Oryza sativa Japonica Group: one gene and its partners. The protein of the gene in region 3 interacts with the protein of the main gene of each other region in a pairwise test. Links are inferred from orthologs where the notes say so. Each region holds a gene or a part of one and is shown on either strand. Other genes may lie near its edges.

Region 1 (4,339 bases), on a different chromosome or scaffold from region 3:
AAGCGCCAAGGCCGAGACTAGTGTTGTCGAGGTCGAGCATGCAATAGTTGCTGTTCTGACGGATGAGTTGGGTCTTGAGGTTTTAATTGGACCTGGAAGTCGCCCGGCTTCGTCCAAACCCACAGTTCCAGCTCGTTCTAGGAGTCATTTAGATCTAGCTTCTAAACATTTTTCCAGGAGACCGCAGGGGATGATAAAGATCCCGATCAACTCTCTGAATCATTGGTTGAAGAGGAAAGCTGTGAGGACTGTGCAGTGACAGTTCCTCAACCTTTTGCAGAGTCATCCTAAGATAAGGTAGTGTATACAGATGTACAGGTTGGCTGGTGCTACTCAGTGACATCAACCCAACACGGTTTCACAAGAAGGAATTTGTGGACGGCCATCCAGATACGGTAAAACATCAGAATTAAAGTTATTAGGTTATTGCTGGAAACTTGCAATCCCCGCAATTCCATGGAAACTGAAAAACATGCTGACCGAGTACAGTGAAATACTCCACTGTCTGTGGATTTTGAGCACCATTGCCTAATATAGATTTGTAACAAGTTTGTTCGCTCAAGATTTGAAACCTGATTGCAAAACAAATGTCCAAGATGCCCATGGCTGTATTGTTGTGCCTCTTAAAAACATGCCATGATGTGCTCAGTTACACATGTGAACAGCTCCAATTCTACATTGATCCAAACATGGAGTTGGCACATAAATGCTGGAATACATTGTTTTGAATACATGCTCAGGATACATGAGTAATATCACAGTAACATTTGAATTTCCTGTCACTATACCTGCTCTGAATACATGCTGAAGTAAGCATTTCCATGTTCTTAAAAATTAGTGAATACACACAGCAGCTGCTGTTCAAATACATAATGCTAGAAGAAGATTTCCACATCTGACGGTACTACGAGGCAATCTTGGTCACCCTTATCAATTTGATCCTACAAACTCTCAGTCAGGGGTGTGCAATACTTCCTAAAGAACCTAACATAAAGAACCTAATCTAACATAGAAATTAGTTAACCATGCATTTTGACTGAACATTTTGGAGCTACCTTTTGACTTCGACTAGCCATGGCCCATGGGAATACTGATTCTCAAAAATACCTTATTTTAAATAAATAAATCTAGTGCACAGCGCAGTAGTCAAATAAATGCATGAAAATTCACCTATTCATCTAGCATAGAAAGGGTCCTCAAATCCAGTCCTGTTGCTGCAGCTTGAGAGGTAGATAGACCTCAGTGAGATACTGGAAACCAAATGAACTGAGAGCCTGTATCTCAGCCTTCTGCCTCGTCCGCAACATCGTCTCCAGCTCCTTCACCCATCCTTCATTCTGCTTCACAAAGTCCTCCTCAAGCAGCTCCTTCCCCACCTTGATATCGTGATCAGTCATCGGAAGCCGGCACTGCTCCGGCACCCGATACTTGTCCAGATCGCTTGGCCGCACTCCGAGCCACTTGATATCCGGTGTTGTCAGGTTGGCACTGTCATATGACATGTTCTTGGAACCACACATGTACACTGACAAGATCTTCAGCCCATATGGGTCGGAGTCCACCAATGCCAGCACCGGCAGCTTCAGCTCCACCTTAAGCCGCCGCAAGAACAGCCGTGTGGCGACATCCGGCTGCCCCTTCGCCGTCAAGATGATGCACGGGAAGCGGTTGTAGAACCGGTCCTCGGCGAGACGCATGAACGCGGCGTCCTTCTCCACCAGCAAGATGAAGAGAGCGTCGCTCTCGATGCCTGAGACCCTGTCGATGTTGGGCGGGATGGCCTTCCCGCCGACGCCCATGCGCGTGCAGTCGATCCGGTCGCCGTCGTCGGCGAAGGTGAGGCGCCCGACGACGACGCCCTTCTCGGACGCGACGACGTGGAGGGAGGAGCGGGTGCAGCCGAGCATACAGGAGACGTCGTCGAGGACGGCGTCGGACTGCGCCTGGTCGCCGAAGAGCTTGACGTCGGTGTAGAAGAGGTCACGCTTGGTGACGTGGATCCCCCTGCGGAGGACGGCGTGGACCAAGGAGAGGACGCGCGCGGTGATGGTGGCCTTCCGCGCGGTGGCGACGTTGGCGAAGGGCCTGGCGGACTCGCGGCGGACGAGCACGATGCGGTCGAGGTCCGGGAGGTAGACCTGGTTGGAGGCGGCGCGGGAGGGCACCGCGAAGGAGAAGCCCCGGCCGGACAGGATGCTGCGCGCCGCGGCGAGCACGAGGCGGTTGATGCGGGAGGTGACGGAGGCGGAGTCCTGGTCGGCCACCACGATGTAGCTGGCGGCCGGGTCGTCCTCGGCTGCGAGCGCCTTCGAGGCGGACGACGACGACGACGACGACCCCGCGGGCTTGGATTTGGAGCAGGCGGAGGCCAGGGAGCGGAGGGTGGCGAGGATGGAGGCGTCGGGGCGGAGCTTCGAGCGGAGCGACTCGGCGTACGACGCCGCCGTGGAGACCCGCGGCTTCTTGGAGGCGGAGCCCGACGCGGCCCCCGCGCCTGCCCCGCCGCGGCGCTTCTTCTCCGACATGTCGAGAGATTTGGAGGCGGGGGCGTGGGGAAATCTAGGGGATTTTGGTTTGGGCGCTTTGAGCGGCGGAGACGGCGGCGGGGCTGAAGTGCTGAACTCGACTAGAGTCTGGGCGCGTGTTGCTGCGGCGTGGTTGGGGAGAGTCCGGAAGAGAAGGATTGTGCCGGTAGTGAGCGGGCCAGATAGGTTGGTGAAGTGGTGAGGTGAGCCGAAACTTCTGAGCCCATCGGTACACCTAAAAAGTGTTAGAAGCTAAATTTTGAATTTTCAAACATTATTTTAAAGTTAATTTTAAGATATTTTTAACGTACTTTATTTTATATGGATTTTTAAGTTGCTAAGAACCCATATATAAAATTTTTATACACAAATTATTTTGTTATCATACAGTTTATAATAAATCTTTGGCAAGCAATGAGGCACATAAGCCATATCTGATGACTCGGTCAGCGTTTCATTGACATGGCACAATTTTTTTTGAGGGATTTTTTTTTTAGGGAAGACATGGCACAATTTTACAAACTTAAATCGCTGTGAAAAAACATTAAGAAAGTCCACCAAAGATTTTCAAAAACATGGATATGGGGATGGTGTGTTGACCCTTTTAAAAATAAGTTGATTTATTTTTTTTCTCAATTACACGGAAGACACGGATATACATACAGCTACACATTAGTGCCACGCTCACGCACATGCGAATGTGCGTCATGGCACACGCTCAAAGAGATATGGGGATAATTGGCAAATACATATCTCACAGAAAACATATCAAAAGCACAGCTGTATATATGTAATATTTGTGGATTATTCTATGGGGAATGAATAAATTTTAATAAGAGCAGCTTTTTCTTATGAAATGCCTCATATAGTTGCATTGTTGTTATTTCAAATTCTGTGGCTTCAGATAACATCAAATTTGCAAGGTGAGATACACACTAGCTTGTGATATAACTCCAATATATACAAGCGTGGAGAGAAAACCAAATACCCAACAATATATACCTTGGTGCAAGGCACGATGGCCACGTACTGTTTTCAACTGGACATACAAGTAGTTGTGTTCGGACGAGACAATAAAGAGTACACACTTAATTAATTGGCCACTGAGCCAATTTAGCCAGATCAAGCTATATATCTAGCTGTAAATACTTAGGTAGAGTGGGTTCACATGACACATATATAACACCCAGGAAATTAATGGCCAATGCAGTGGCCAAGCTTCTACACTAGCCGGCGTATAGAACTCAGACAGCAATCCTCTGATCTGCGTACTGAGTTGGCACGATCTGCGCTGCCTTCACAGCAGCAACATTTCCTCGTACATGACCTGCATTGTCAATTTGCAACACATATTTTACGATCAAAACAATCAACCAGCAATTAGTTAATTTGTTACTAGACTAAACAGGAAAAATAATAGTAAACAGGAGAGAGAACTTGCCAGCTGGTGGTGATGCTTCTTCTTCCTTGGCAGAACGAATCCAGTAATTATTCAAGGCGTCTGTCATCAAACAAACTAATAAATTGACCAGGAAGATCATCACTATGACGAAGGCAGTCGCACTCACGATGTCTGCTGCGGTCAAATTGCCTGCAGCCATTGATAAACAAAATCGACAGGTTCTTGTCGTATAGGAGTATTATTGTAACTTCTTTTTCTTTTTTTTCCCATTGTTTCTCCTAATTTTGTATAAACTGTGAAGATTCAAATTTAAATGTATCTATGAACACAAACCTAAACTTGGAACAAATGACGAACAACGAGTTAGAAGAACGGGAAATCATTCTTTGCATGTCACTTAAATGGTTAAGAA
Region 2 (4,450 bases), on a different chromosome or scaffold from region 3:
GAGAATTCCTTCAGCTTTCCTTCTGTCTGCAACAGAATACATGAAGCATGAGGTTGACAATTGAATAAGAACAAACAAGGTACTTATAAGTTCCAAGAAAAAGTTGTAGAAATGTCAGTCATTTATATCCCTCAGTTTAGTCACCTTCAGACGACAAGTGAAGTAGGCAGCAGTCTGGAAGGCGATAATCCTCAAAATCAGATGTGAAGACCCCAAGCCACCGAATATCAGGCACACGCAGGAAATTTGCATCGTATGCCAATTGCTTAAATAGAATGAGAATTACACAAGCGCATTGCAGAAGGTAGTTAGTTAACACAAATAAATACACCAAGCTTTCAAGGAAAATTAAATAAACTTGCAAGGTCCAAATCTACCAGCAAAATGGGACAGAATATCGTGAAAACAAGACATGCTAAAAGGGCTTAGAGCTGCCAAACAAACTGAAGGCATACTGTTTGATTCAAATGTGCCTTGATACTGGACAAAAATGTAATGCATAAAGGTCAATCCAGCTATTGGGAGCTACTGATAAGGAAAGTGTAGTAGTCATTTGCATAAAGTGGTTATATGTGATTTTTAATTAACAGGTATGCTCAGATAGTGCATAATAGCAAATACAAAGCAAACAGCTAATTAGATAAATCATGACCCACCAGTGAACCAAATTTGTAGGTAGCCAGAATGTCGAAACCATAAGGGTCTGCATCCACCAAACAGTAAACTGGCAAATGCAGCTGTTCAACAAGGTAGCGCAAGAATCTGGAAAAATAAAGTATTTACATTTGAAATATCAATTCAGAAAAATAAAAGAGAAAAGTATAACAAAGAGTATATGCCTTCTTGTTGGAATATCTGGGTAGCCTCTTCCCTGAGCAGACAGAACAACATCAAACTAGATAAGAATAAATGCAAGAAGATATTTTGTGTATAACACCAGATTCAGCAGTTAGTAAGTACTGTAATCACAATGCAGCGATTCCTTTCACAGAACTTGTCATTAGCCAAACGTTGAAACACTGCAAGGAGAGTACAGAAGCGAACTGTAGGAAGGCTGGAACTGGAAGAGTACAAGTATCACATGCACATGAGGAATCTTTAAGCCTCATACCTGTCTCCTTCTCGACAATAAGTATGTAGTCCGCAACACTAACAACATCTACAAGAGAAAACCTAAGATAGCTTAATTTCCTTGAGATATAATTCAGGCATCAGGGATAACACTGAAGTTCACAGATAACAAGAGAGGAAATCTGTAACATAAAGTGAGTAAAAGATATAAGTATAATCAACCGCATATTTGTAAGGAAAATGAAGAATAAACTGTGGGTTCACTTGTTGTCCAGTCTTTTTCTGGCATATCTTAAATCAAGACGGGTAAAGATACTAAGCACTGACTTTATTCTTTAGTCTAATGAACAGCACCTTGCTAAGAGATCAATCCTAGCTATTCGATTCAGAATATATCAAAGTGGATTCTCTCAAAACAAAGGATGGTGGCTAATTCTGAATAATTGAGATTATGGTCCAACCCCTCACGCAATCCATGTCAGCAAATTGTAAAGGAATTATTTTCAGTGCAGATTAACAGTAACATAAATACTGAATTTTAGATCTTTAAATTTCTGAACAACCTTTTATTGCTTCGATGCTAACTGGGATAGAGAAGGCCTGCATTTGAAGAAGGCAAAAATCAAACCATATCAATAAAAAGAAAGAAACATATTACAGTGATTAAAGGAAACTCATAGAACTTACAGCATTGACATTCGTTACACAATAGACTTCCTTTTCTCCCTCTAAAAATCTAATCCAGCCCATCACCAAGCTGGAATAATAAAGACATTGATGAGTTTTTAACAGGGGAAATGAATAGGTGAAGAATATATGAGCATAGCACTGTAATGGTAGCTTCACAGTGCTCTATAAGCCCTTGCTAAAAGAGAAGCATCTCACTATTTACATCCAGATTTTGTTTTAAGCAGACCAAGTGCTTGGAAGATAAGGGGTTAGAAGTTATCTTATTAAGTATTGGCATGGACAATCAATAGGACAGTAGAATGAGTTAAACATATCTTCAGACACTCCAACTCTATGATAGTTGACAGAGTTCCTACCCTTTTGCCACAGGAACCTGCAAGCAGCCAAGGTAGCACACATTCCAGTCAGTTATGACAGTACATACACATGAATTCAAGATGTAAAACAGCATTGAGAAAAAAAAGGCTCCAGGTGATTAATGACAGAAATGTGGGCACAAAGGATGTAGCAGCTGGAAAGTGGAATCTTATTATGTGATGCACACGCAACTTCTAGAAGCAAAACTGAAGATTCTGAAGGAAAATAACACAGATTACGCGGTACATACCACATTGAGATTGTGCCGGCTGCACTTGAAGAGTACGCATATATCATTGATTGCACGGTCAACAACCGCTTGTTCTGCAGTATTTAGACAAAAACAGGTGTCAGAATTCCAATTGTCACACACAGCAGGAAACAAAAGCAGAAGCGGAGGCATGGAACCTATGCAGACCTTGGAATATGGAGGGGTACATGTAGTAGATGTCCCTCTTGGAGCAGTGCTTGTTCTGCTGCAGGAGTTGCTGCACGACGAGAAGAACCCTGAGGAGCACATCTGCACATCGATTAAAACATCCCAAACTGATTAACATTAACATGATCGTAGATACGCAGGTTGAGACAAAAATCAACGACGCGTACTGAGCCGGGAGGCGTGGGAGCCCCGGTGGAGGAGCGAGAGTACATCTGTGCCCACGGGGACGTCGTAGCTGCAGGCGCTGCAAGCGCATACAGCGGGGTGAGAATTTGAAACGGCCGATGAGATGGTAGGGTAGGGCGAGACGCGGAAACCGACCATGGGGACGCGGCGGCGGCGGAGGCGGAGGAGCAGTAGTTCTGGTAGCGGTGGAGCGCGACGGTCGGGGAGCGGCCGGCGGCGACCTCGGCGACGACCCAGCGCACCAACCCTGCGCAAAAAACGAGGGACGCGTGTTTACTTCGGTTGATGAAGGATTCAGAAGTTTTTTAAGCGATTGATCACGAGAGGGAGGGGGAGTGCACCTCTGATCCTGTGGAGGAGGGTCGCCGCTTCCTCCTGCCGCCGCCGCCGCTCTTCGCCGTCGAGCGCCGCCACCCGCCGCCTCTTCTCCCTCCCCGCCATGATCGACCGCTGCGAGTGAGCCTCCGGCGGTCGGGCCAACAACGGCTAGCCCAGTATTGACCAAATGGGCTTGTAAAAACTGAAAACCCCCATATTTTTTTTCATTTTTACCAAGGGCCTATTCGCAATCTAATTCACACACAACTCGATATAATTCTAAGATTTTTGTGTATTTGTCCGATAAAATATATAAATAGTTCACTTCTTTTTTTTTCGAATTTGATGAATAATTTCGGAAATAATGACAGCACAAGTGAAGATTTTATTCATGACAACACAAGTGAAGATTTTATTCATAATTCGTTCATACATTTGCCGGTTAAATTACACTAACACCTAGTAGCTCGCTCACTAGCTCTCCAGACATCAACGTGACAAATACATCTATCCAACCACTACCTTCACTTTCACAAGCTACACACATCTGATACATCTTCAGCTAACGTACTCCTCAGACTGCCTGATCTGCTAATAGCAGCAGCAGCAACAACAACAATACAGCACCCACAAGAATTTTGGCCATAGCCCTAAGTTCAGAATTTACTCGTGGAAGCCTTGCACCTCTTGGTGCTGAGCTGGGCGACCGGGAACTCTACCAGGACGATGAACGACGAGCTCTCTGATTCCCGGAGGTACTGAACCGTGCCGCTCATCGTCTTCACGAGCTTCTGGCTTATGTAAAGGCCAAGGCCCTCTCGAGATGCACCTGGGCTGTGGCGGAACATCTCTTGTATCAGAGCCTCTGGAACGCCCGGAGCTGGATGGACAAGCCTGCATGGAGCCAACCGTTGGGCAGATGTTAGATTACGCTTCTGTTAAGTGGGGTTGTGCCCCAGCAAGCTCGTCGAACAATCTAAAGCTTCGCATCATCTAATCAATCTCCTTTTACTCACAGTTTTAAGGGTTGTCGGCCGGGTTATCCGTTATCTTAAATAGTTGTAAGGGTTGCATCATTGAATTGGTTATATAGTCATTACTCAGATGTTACGATATTGCATTTTATGTTTATGCTATGTTTATGTTGAGATAATATGGAAGGCCTATTTTGAACCGTCAGTTTTTATGTGACTACTGAGTGTCCTGCCTCTATTGATAAGATGGACAGTAAACACAAGCTGCAGGAATAAAGGTGTCTGGAACTCAATAGTGCGCCTCTAGTACTTACTGAACGCATGTTAACAAACAGATTTCTCCCCAGAGAAGTTGAGTTGGAGTAATGGAAATTAGGTCATTGCATGCAAAGTTTAAGTTGGTTCTATTACCAGT
Region 3 (4,428 bases):
TAGAACCCCTGCACGTAGTAGACCCGCAGCGCGTACACCGCCGCGGCCACGAGCGTGCCGGCCCACCGCCCCGCCGTGTGCGGCGCCGCCCGATCCAGGTAGTGCTGGAACGCCCGCGACGCCTCCGCGCGCCACCGCTCCACCGACCCGGAGGCGGACCCGCCGCCGACGGGGGAGGGCTCCATGGTCGCCGCCGCGCTCTGGTGTTGGGGGATTCCGAGGCGAGGCGAGGCGAGTCGGTGGGGCTAGGTTTCGTGGCGTTGCCCTGGGCGATGGGAGCGCTGCGCGTGGTTTGGGTTTGGTCAAAGCGAAAGCGGAGAGGAGGAGGAGGGAGGAGGAGGAGGAGGAGAGGACTAGACGAGACGAGGACGCTTCACATTCTGTAAAAGCAAATGGGGCTCTGAGTCTGACGCGAGGTCAGGAGGCCACACGCATCCAGCCTCACGCCCTCACGCGTCTTTCTGATATCAAGAAGGCAAGGATTCAACTCAAATTTTGTGGAATTTTCTACAAAAATAATGTAATTTGTCTGTAATGTTATACTCTATCCATCCTTTCTAAAATATAAGTATTTTTGGACTTCGACACGGTTTTCGAGATGCTACTTTAACCAACAATATCTATAAAAGTAATATGTTTTAAATACAAATAATTGTATAGTACGATAGTTTGTTTAATGATAAATCTACTAATATTAATTTTACATGATTTTTTTTTATTTTTTTCTATTAATAGTCACAATTAAAAATATTTGACTTGGCACTATTTTAAAAATGCTTATAGTATACACAATCTTCATGGAGTTATTGAACGCAGATATTATCATGAACGAGAACGAACAGAAAGAGATGCTCAGCACATGGGCAATTACTTGCAGTTTCTGAATTTTTGACGTAACAATGTCTGAATTTTGTTTACACGAGGCAGGAAACAGTCTCAGAGAGCAGTCTTTGTTAGTGTTTATAAAGTTCTCTGGTCAAAGTAAAGCTCTCTCACAGCATAGGAGATCTCTGGATTAGGAGTGCTACGAGACAATTGGAAATGCTAGAAATCGAAAATCATATCCTCATCTGGGTCGTCTTCATCCAGTAGGCTATAATCTTCATCGAACCTCTCGCACTCGAACAGATAAGGTGCGTTGTGCTCTACGTTCTCCTTGGTGTCATTCATCTCTACGATACGGTTCATCTTCTCACCGATGCAGGATCTAACCGCCCCTTCTGTGAGATCTTGATCTGAGCCTAGGCCGAGAAGAGCGATGCACTCATCTTGGAACTCTTGATCATTGGATGATAAGATTAAGCCAGCTATCGATTCTGCGAGATCAGGGACATACTCGCGAACCTGAATTATGGAAAGAACAAGTTACATCAAATTGTAGGCAATAACAAGTTACATCAAGTTACCTTAGGTTGGATTAACTTTTGGATACTCATGGCACGCTTTTCAAACCGTAAAACGGTGCGTTTCGTGTGAAAACTTTCTATATGAAAGTTGTTCTAGAATATCAGATTAATCCATTTTTCAAGTTTGTAGTAATTGAACTGACAGTACGCAAATGTTAGGCCATGTCATTTGTGGCTTGCCACCAAACTAAGATTCAATGTGTGTCCTGATGAAAACTAGCAAGAATAGTTGAGGGCATACAGACTTACAAAGCCCATTCCCAAGCTGAACAATATTGCCGTCTAGTCTTTGTTCGGTATTTAAGGGGAGTGGTAATTTTGCTAGGGTGTACTAGGCAGTAGGCACACCAGTTCTTCCCTATACAGTTTTCCCCTCGTAGTATAAAGCCGACACACACTTGATATTTCAAGGGAAAGAAGTATCAAGGAAAGTGAAGATGATATTCACATTGAGGTAGGAACCAACAGAGTGATTATTTCTGATGATAAGTTACAGAAATTATAATATGAAGCTTATTATGACGTCAATCTAATTTGTGTGACCAAAAGAGCAACTATACAGAAAGTGGTCACTTTGCGAGGTTGGCAGGTGGCACAGATTAAGAAGTGTTGCATTGAGGTTGCACTAAATCTAACAGGTGTCGGTTCAGTACTACCTTATGTCTAACAATAGTTTTTCTTGAGTTATAAATTATAACAGGCAGAAAATACATACAAGTAAGGAATGGAAATAACAAACACACCAGTTACGTGGTTAACAGCAAAGTGTAGAAGGCACAAACCTTCTGGCCATGGCAGCTGAGAAAGTCTTCTGCATGGTCTGCTTTCAATCCAAACAATGCAGACTTAAGTGCCTTTCTTAGAAGATGCCTTTCAGGTTGAGAGCTCTTCCATTCATCAACAGCAGTAGCTACAGCAGGTCAAGGATAGCCAAATACAGTGATGGGAAATCCAACAGAGATATCCACAGCCAAATAGACAGGCGACACCATCACTAGAAAAAAGAAAGCATGCACAAAACAAAAGCTGGATATCCTTCGTGGTAAGTGTGAATGGCAATATCGACATGAGAAAATGCCATGTTATCCCATTGAAGCTCAGCATTTCCATCGTCATCAATGAAACCCCCTTTAAACTTGAAACCGTAGCTTTGCCAGTCTATGCTCATCAGCGCACTGAGGGAGGATTGTGAGATTGGACATGGTATGAACTCTACAAAATGCAAAACCTACAATAGACAATTCACCATTGAGTGGAAGCAGTGAGCATACTTGAACCACACCTTCAGCATAAACATTGGACGCCATGCTGTTATAACTTTTATAAGCTTACTAAATACAAGCAAGAATATACCACACAAGAGGCCCTCTTGCTTGTATACTACACCCATAACCAGTTAGACATCACAAGAACAAGTATGCTAATGTAATTGCATAATTAGTTTATGTAACTTAGAGGCCTATGGTGCAAACCTGTGTAGATGAACAATTTGTCATCCAACAGCTCAAATCAGATGAAGTAGGTGCAAGCATTATCACTACTTCAACAAGTTGCCCTTTAGCTTTTCTTTTGTCTACATATTTTGCTGTTCCAGTTCCAATCTTCAGGCGATCTCTGAAGTGAGACGGCAGAAGAGCAAAACATACAAGCCCTATCAACTATGTAATCAAAGCTATTTGAGGAATGTACAATTGCAGAGATAGATGATACACATATGGTATTCATTAGTATGCACATGACTGAATTCAACTACTACATACCAGGCTACCGAAAGGTAGGATACACAAGCATGCCTAAAAAGGTTGAACTGAAATGCTGAATGGGTTTGGGACTTTGGGTGATGGGAAAATGGGGCAATTAGACATTACTCAAATCTAGCGAATAGCACCAGACACTGTTGGCCACCTGAAGCAGTTCATCTGATAGATCGGTACTTTGTTTAACAAAAGAAAGCTATTAGGCCTTGATATATACAATTCTAGAGCTCAAATGCGGCAGGATCTGATATCTTCACATTAAATAATGTTGATACACTCAATTGTGCATATTTGATTAATACATTTCAGATTTTATTAGATGTGATGGGATAAGACTTATTCCCCCAGCCTTCGTGTGTGCACAAGTGAGTTTTCATAACTACATTCAGAATCAGTGACTGCAATTATTTTATTTACCGCTTCATGAGCGACAACTTTTCCTATGTGACACAAAGTCTAAAACACCCATAAATTAACTTCAAACCTGTTGTTTAGCGATTCAAGTGCAAGTTCCAGAAAAATGATTAAATATGGATGCTAAATTGCTAATGATAAGCTTCCACTGAAAGTCAAAATCCAAAAGATAACACACATCATAAATCTATTTCCAATAGCAAAGTAAAGAAATAAACAAATATGTCTAGAGTTAAACTCAGCAAGCAATGTTTACCTGTTCATGTAGCATGCTTCACACCTGTCAGATGTGTTAGCATGTGAGAGTGCATAATCTTTAAGGCCAGAAACTAGACGGTCAATACTTGATGTGGTAATGGAAATATGGACATCATCAGAATCTTGTGACAGACAAACGTCTCCTGATCCAGCACTGTCTGTTTGCGCAACAAAGAGCTCACATGCTAAATTCTGAGTAGTACAAAAGAAATCAAACAACCATTTAAGAGGTCACAATAAGAAAAAACAGAGTAAAAGCAGATAGATGCTTCTAATTCTAGGCCTGTTTACTGTGCAACAACTAAAACTGGACATATGCAAACACAAAGTAAAATTAGACATGTTCGGAGGAATGGAATGTAACCAAGTACTGAGGATGAATCATGATCATCAGTTTTATATCCTTTAATTACATCTCAGGATACACAATATTGTTGGTCTGAAAATGCAGGCAGACAAATTGGTGATATGATATCAGATGGCTGTTAAGAACTTATCAAACAAATGCATCTGTAGGAAACTCCAATATTAGGGTTTTCAGTTGTTTTGCCCTGTAGCATAGACCAATGAACACCGTGTTTTGTTACTTTTGT
Region 4 (4,542 bases), on a different chromosome or scaffold from region 3:
TTAACACACTAAAGACCGTTTGATCTTTGTTTAATAAAGGAGGTAAAAAGGAGGAGATATATGCAACTGCTAGACTACAATTTACATCCAGTAGTCCACAGCTGAGCAGTTTACTACTGACATTCTGGGGATGTATAGCAGTATCCTTTTGTGTATGTCAAGGTTCAGATTTCTCCTTCACCTTCAGATGGTGTAATAATTTCAAGTATTCTGCATACAGCATACTCACGCAGGGGACGTGCAGTAACAACAGCAACATTCTTCAAAGATACAAGTCATTTTTGAAGAAAACTGGACAGGGCCAGGGCTGATGGAATCAGCTCAAAATTTCAGTTCTCAGTAAAACCAGAGAAACCATGAGGCAGGCAGCAATGCACTGTCAAATGTAATCACCCTGTACAATCTTCCTTGCAACATATTTCCCCAGGAAATCAAACCCATGTGAGTAGAGAGCTTCGATCTCGGCACGCTTGCCTGTCTCCAACATCAGTGTCAGCTCAGCTCTGTGCTTGTCCTGCAGCCAACACAACATCATCATTACAATATTGCATGTTTCCAATTCAGAAGGCAACATGATCAGAAACTAAGGACTCCCATCGTTCCTGTAATGACAAGAACAGTACATTTTTTCACCCACTGGGGTAAACACTGCCTATAAGAAGGCCAGACAGTATTGGCATGTAACAAGATCTCAGAATGGCTAGATAATTCCATTGCAGCAGTCCTCAAGGACATTTTGCTGAAACATGATCTCAATTTCTCATGTGACCAAACCTTTTGATGCATATTGAAACTTGACCAAAGAAGTTTGGTGCTACTTGATGCATGGACAGAACATATATACTAGGTATCAGGTTGCATTGTGATTGAACCATTTTGCACAGTTGTATCCATGTTTTAATTCTATGTTCCAGATACTTCTACATAGTCCAAAAGTTGAGGGTTAGCAGACTCACCTGCAGAAACTTAGATGACAGCAAGCTTTTGGCAATCTGCAGATCACGTGGCTTCAGTTCTTGATATGCGCTCTGAGGTATAAGCTGCAGATCATCTCCTCTTAGGCCAAGCCATTTTACATTGCAAGCTGTAAAAAGCAACATTAATTTTTTTCGAAAATTTGGCATGATCAAACATCGATCACTCAAAGGAAGTACCATATCTGTATGATTCCAAACCCATTGAAATGCTTCCATACTTGTAAGTGCATAGTATAGCAAGCCCTGCTGGGTTCCTGAAAAATGATCAAAAAAAGAAAACTAACTTCACCTGAAATATAAAGAGAAAGTCAGCTATACATCAGCACTTGGAAGGACCAAACCAGTCTACTAATGCGAAAATCGGCATGTTCGGATAAGTCTGGCTCAGTCGATGCAAGATAAACCTGTTCCAGAACATTGAATAGCAAATAGTATAAGTATACAAGATAACCTAATAATGTTGACAATATCATGGTCACATTGAGTGTATTCTCTATCACATAAGCTGGACAAATTTAGATAAGAAAAGAGTAATGCACATTTAAGGCACAGAACCTTGTGGCAAGATCAGGATATCCTTTTGCAGTAATCAGGATACACGGAAGGTGACTATATATGCGATCTTCAGCCAGCCTCTGAAATATGGCATCCTATATCAAACCAGCGAGCGATCAGCTGGAAGTAACTAAGAGGGGGCAATACAATACCACTAGATTGCACAAGCAAAGAGAGTACCTTCTCCACTACAATGATATACCGCGCATCTGAAGAAAAGATTAATTTGCTCAATACATTGAGATCTCCAGTGATCGCATGCCCAGAAGGTCCAAGAATGGAGCAGTCAACATGTTCTTCCTCCGGCCCCTAGGACAATTTAAACACAGGTTCAGGCTGCTGCTGCAAGATAAACAAGAGATGCAATCAATATGCAACACATGTTCCACTCATCATAGCATGGGATGAGGCACACCTGCACCACAAGCCGCCCAATCAGTGCCCCTCTACTCGACGCCATGATCCCCAGGCTCTGCCTCGTACACCGGAGCAACGAGACGACATCTGCGCAAGAACACGGCACAAACATTATGAGACACCAAGTTAGAGCAACCGACAAAAAAAAAATGGAGTCAGAATTCAGAAATGCGTGGACCTTGAACAGTCTGGTTGACATGCCGCTGGCAGGTGAAGTAGGTGGGCGATTCAGAGAGGAGCGTGTAGAACAGCTCCCTCAGGGTGACCAGCTTCCCCTCCCCCAAAATCTTGTAGCACATCTCCATCACCTTCCACACTGTCTCAAGAGCAAATGAGAACGAATCAAACACACTTTTTTTGGCTGAAGTTGAAGATGGAAAATATCATCGTTTCAAAAAACAGAGTAAATTTCACAAAACCACACCTATTATAGTCCAAGTTGTACAAAACCATAGAAATTTTGACACGTTGCAAATAACCCCGGGTATTATGCTCTTAAAAGCTTCACAAAACCACGTCGTTAACCAATTTAACACTCCCACGTCAAAATTTACATGGATGTCACATTCATATGAACTCATAAATTTGAGATTTAATTGCACAGAACTTAAATGTACGGTAGATTAAAGTCAAAATGATCGATAGCGTGGTTTTGTCAAAATCCTCGTGGATTTGTGTAACTGAGACTATGGTTATATGAAATTTACTTTTTAAAAATAAGATGGAAGAGATCATCAAGAGGCAACCTCTAACGAATGCCTTGGCGTCGTTGGCCCTCGTGAGGGATCTCTTGCAGGAGGCGTAGGAGAGGTACACCGACGAGACGTCGTCGCGCAGCAGCGCGCGCCGCAGGCCGCGGTTGGCGGCGCCCCGGCTGATCAGCGGGAGGGCGGAGATGGCCGGTGCGGCCGGGTCGGTGAGCGCCGCGAGGAAGTTGAGCACCGCCACCTCGATCCTCGCCCGCACCTGCCGGGATTCGACCGCGTGACGTCAGCTTTGCCGCGGCTCGGTCGAAGCGGAGGGGAGGGGGGGAGAAGAGGAGGAGGAGCGGCTGACCTCGGCGGGAGGGAGGATGTCGGCGGAGCAGAGGCGGCGGTCGGCGCCGAAGAGCGAGGCGGCCGCCACTCCCGCCTCCGCCATCCCGTACTGCCGCGGCGGCCGTGCGCGAGCTCGCCGGCGGCGGCGCCAACGGACAACTCGCCCAGGTTTCCGCTTTCCCGTTGGGGAGGCGGAAAAGAGGAGAGACGCCACCTCGTTGTAGACTTGTAGCGGGCGGGGCCTAGAAATGATGGGCTGTAATATACATGGGCTTTGTAGGTAGATGGTGGGCCGGACCAATATAAAGGAGGATAAAGACAAAATGGTTTAGCTTTGGTCCTCATATTTTGTAATCGGCCATTTTATCCCCAGTAGATTTGGTTATTTTTAACCCTCAACTTTAATGACTTGTACCAGTGTGTACTCATTGTGCAGTGCAAACTAGAGGATCCAAACAAGTCCCCATATGAAATTATGGTGATTTCCTCTTATAAGAAAAAGGAAATTGTGGTGACCTTTTAAAAGGAACTAATAATGTAAGCTTCTGGGAAGGACTGAAGGTTTAGTTATAAGTATTTGTATAAAAAGTGTAATAGCATTAATATTTTAATAGTAATATTTCATCCATTGAAAATATTTATAGAAGCATAGTGCAACAACCATAATCTAACCAAAAGAATGGAAGTTAGTGATCAAGGCCGAGGGTAGCGAGTAAAGGACTTGCCATACATAGTTTTTTTTCCCCTCCGTTTTTAAATAATGCCAACACTGGCTATAACTATTTTTAAATAATTGCTAAAAAGTTATATTACAAATAACGGGGATTTTATGGTTATATTTCAGACGCCATACACTTTAACAAATATGCCATCTATTTTAGTGTTTACAATTTGTTTTGAAAGAATGAGTAGTTAAAGTTTGAAAATGAATAATATTCTGTGTGAATTATTCGAAAGGGTAGCTGAGTATAAGAATTACCACTCAAAAGTTGTACTTTAAATAAATTCGAAACATATTATTGGGAAGTGATTTTTGATGTCATTGAGCTGACGAGGTCATTAAGGTTGTATTCTTCCCCCTTCTTCCCCAACTCACTCCTCTCATTTTCCGCACACACGCTTTCTAAACTATTAAGCAGTGTGTTTTTTTTTGAAAAAAAAAGATTATGTGAAAGTTACTTTAAAAATTCATATTAATTCATTTAAAAAATATTAGCTAATACTTAATTAATCATGCACTAATAAATCGCTCCGTTTTGCTGGTCGGAGAGATTAGTTCTGAAAGGGTCAATTAGGCCTAGAGGGGGGGTGAATAGGCTAATTTAAAACTTTATACGGAAGCTAAAACTGATATAAGGTCGGAAAGTCTGATCCACAGTCAGACTATCCGAAAATATCAGATAGTCTGATGTTGGATCAGACTGTCTGATCCACCAAGGAAGCACAACAAGTAGATCTATCACACAAACAAGAGTAAAGCACAAATAGCGACTAGATCTATAGCGGCACAATTAAGCAAAGCTAAAAGGAGGATGAAGGGAGATCACCAATGATGA

What was found.
Region 1: the proteins of type 2 DNA topoisomerase 6 subunit B-like (region 3) and SPO11-3 interact in binary tests that used the Arabidopsis thaliana proteins (3 or more experiments, as listed by UniProt). The link is inferred for Oryza sativa Japonica Group from reciprocal best matches to the Arabidopsis thaliana genes AT1G60460 and RHL2.
Region 2: the proteins of type 2 DNA topoisomerase 6 subunit B-like (region 3) and SPO11-1 interact in binary tests that used the Arabidopsis thaliana proteins (3 or more experiments, as listed by UniProt). The link is inferred for Oryza sativa Japonica Group from reciprocal best matches to the Arabidopsis thaliana genes AT1G60460 and ATSPO11-1.
Region 4: the proteins of type 2 DNA topoisomerase 6 subunit B-like (region 3) and OsSPO11B interact in binary tests that used the Arabidopsis thaliana proteins (3 or more experiments, as listed by UniProt). The link is inferred for Oryza sativa Japonica Group from reciprocal best matches to the Arabidopsis thaliana genes AT1G60460 and SPO11-2.

What each region holds. Positions count from the first base shown.
Region 1 is NC_089037.1:9,846,214-9,850,552, reverse strand, and holds SPO11-3 (topoisomerase 6 subunit A3), read right to left. Parts: upstream 2,857-4,339; 5' UTR 2,526-2,856; coding exon 1,197-2,525; 3' UTR 757-1,196; downstream 1-756. Other genes in the region: pentatricopeptide repeat-containing protein At5g02830, chloroplastic, read left to right, coding at 1-259; cysteine-rich receptor-like protein kinase 25, read right to left, coding at 3,770-3,852, 3,967-4,116. UniProt on the Arabidopsis thaliana protein: Component of the DNA topoisomerase VI involved in chromatin organization and progression of endoreduplication cycles. Relaxes both positive and negative superturns and exhibits a strong decatenase activity. Involved in cell-elongation processes.
Region 2 is NC_089037.1:31,891,628-31,896,077, reverse strand, and holds the start of SPO11-1 (meiotic recombination protein SPO11-1), read right to left. Parts: upstream 3,232-4,450; 5' UTR 3,185-3,231; coding exon 3,085-3,184; intron 2,991-3,084; coding exon 2,879-2,990; intron 2,802-2,878; coding exon 2,725-2,801; intron 2,639-2,724; coding exon 2,537-2,638; intron 2,443-2,536; coding exon 2,369-2,442; coding exon of another isoform or gene 2,358-2,368; intron 2,135-2,357; coding exon 2,118-2,134; intron 1,829-2,117; coding exon 1,759-1,828; intron 1,672-1,758; coding exon 1,635-1,671; intron 1,160-1,634; coding exon 1,112-1,159; intron 1,020-1,111; coding exon 961-1,019; intron 872-960; coding exon 840-871; intron 763-839; coding exon 657-762; intron 266-656; coding exon 145-265; intron 27-144; coding exon 1-26. Other genes in the region: phytochrome C, read right to left, coding at 3,718-3,955. UniProt on the Arabidopsis thaliana protein: Component of a topoisomerase 6 complex specifically required for meiotic recombination. Together with MTOPVIB, mediates DNA cleavage that forms the double-strand breaks (DSB) that initiate meiotic recombination.
Region 3 is NC_089040.1:30,832,585-30,837,012, reverse strand, and holds the end of type 2 DNA topoisomerase 6 subunit B-like, read right to left. Parts: intron 4,028-4,428; coding exon 3,834-4,027; intron 3,021-3,833; coding exon 2,879-3,020; intron 2,635-2,878; coding exon 2,441-2,634; intron 2,313-2,440; coding exon 2,189-2,312; intron 1,345-2,188; coding exon 1,045-1,344; 3' UTR 861-1,044; downstream 1-860. Other genes in the region: protein RER1A, read right to left, coding at 1-185.
Region 4 is NC_089042.1:3,347,849-3,352,390, forward strand, and holds the start of OsSPO11B (meiotic recombination protein SPO11-2), read right to left. Parts: upstream 3,164-4,542; 5' UTR 3,090-3,163; coding exon 3,006-3,089; intron 2,916-3,005; coding exon 2,696-2,915; intron 2,266-2,695; coding exon 2,128-2,265; intron 2,037-2,127; coding exon 1,948-2,036; intron 1,842-1,947; coding exon 1,713-1,841; intron 1,628-1,712; coding exon 1,533-1,627; intron 1,382-1,532; coding exon 1,319-1,381; intron 1,232-1,318; coding exon 1,155-1,231; intron 1,085-1,154; coding exon 957-1,084; intron 515-956; coding exon 380-514; 3' UTR 1-379. UniProt on the Arabidopsis thaliana protein: Component of a topoisomerase 6 complex specifically required for meiotic recombination. Together with MTOPVIB, mediates DNA cleavage that forms the double-strand breaks (DSB) that initiate meiotic recombination.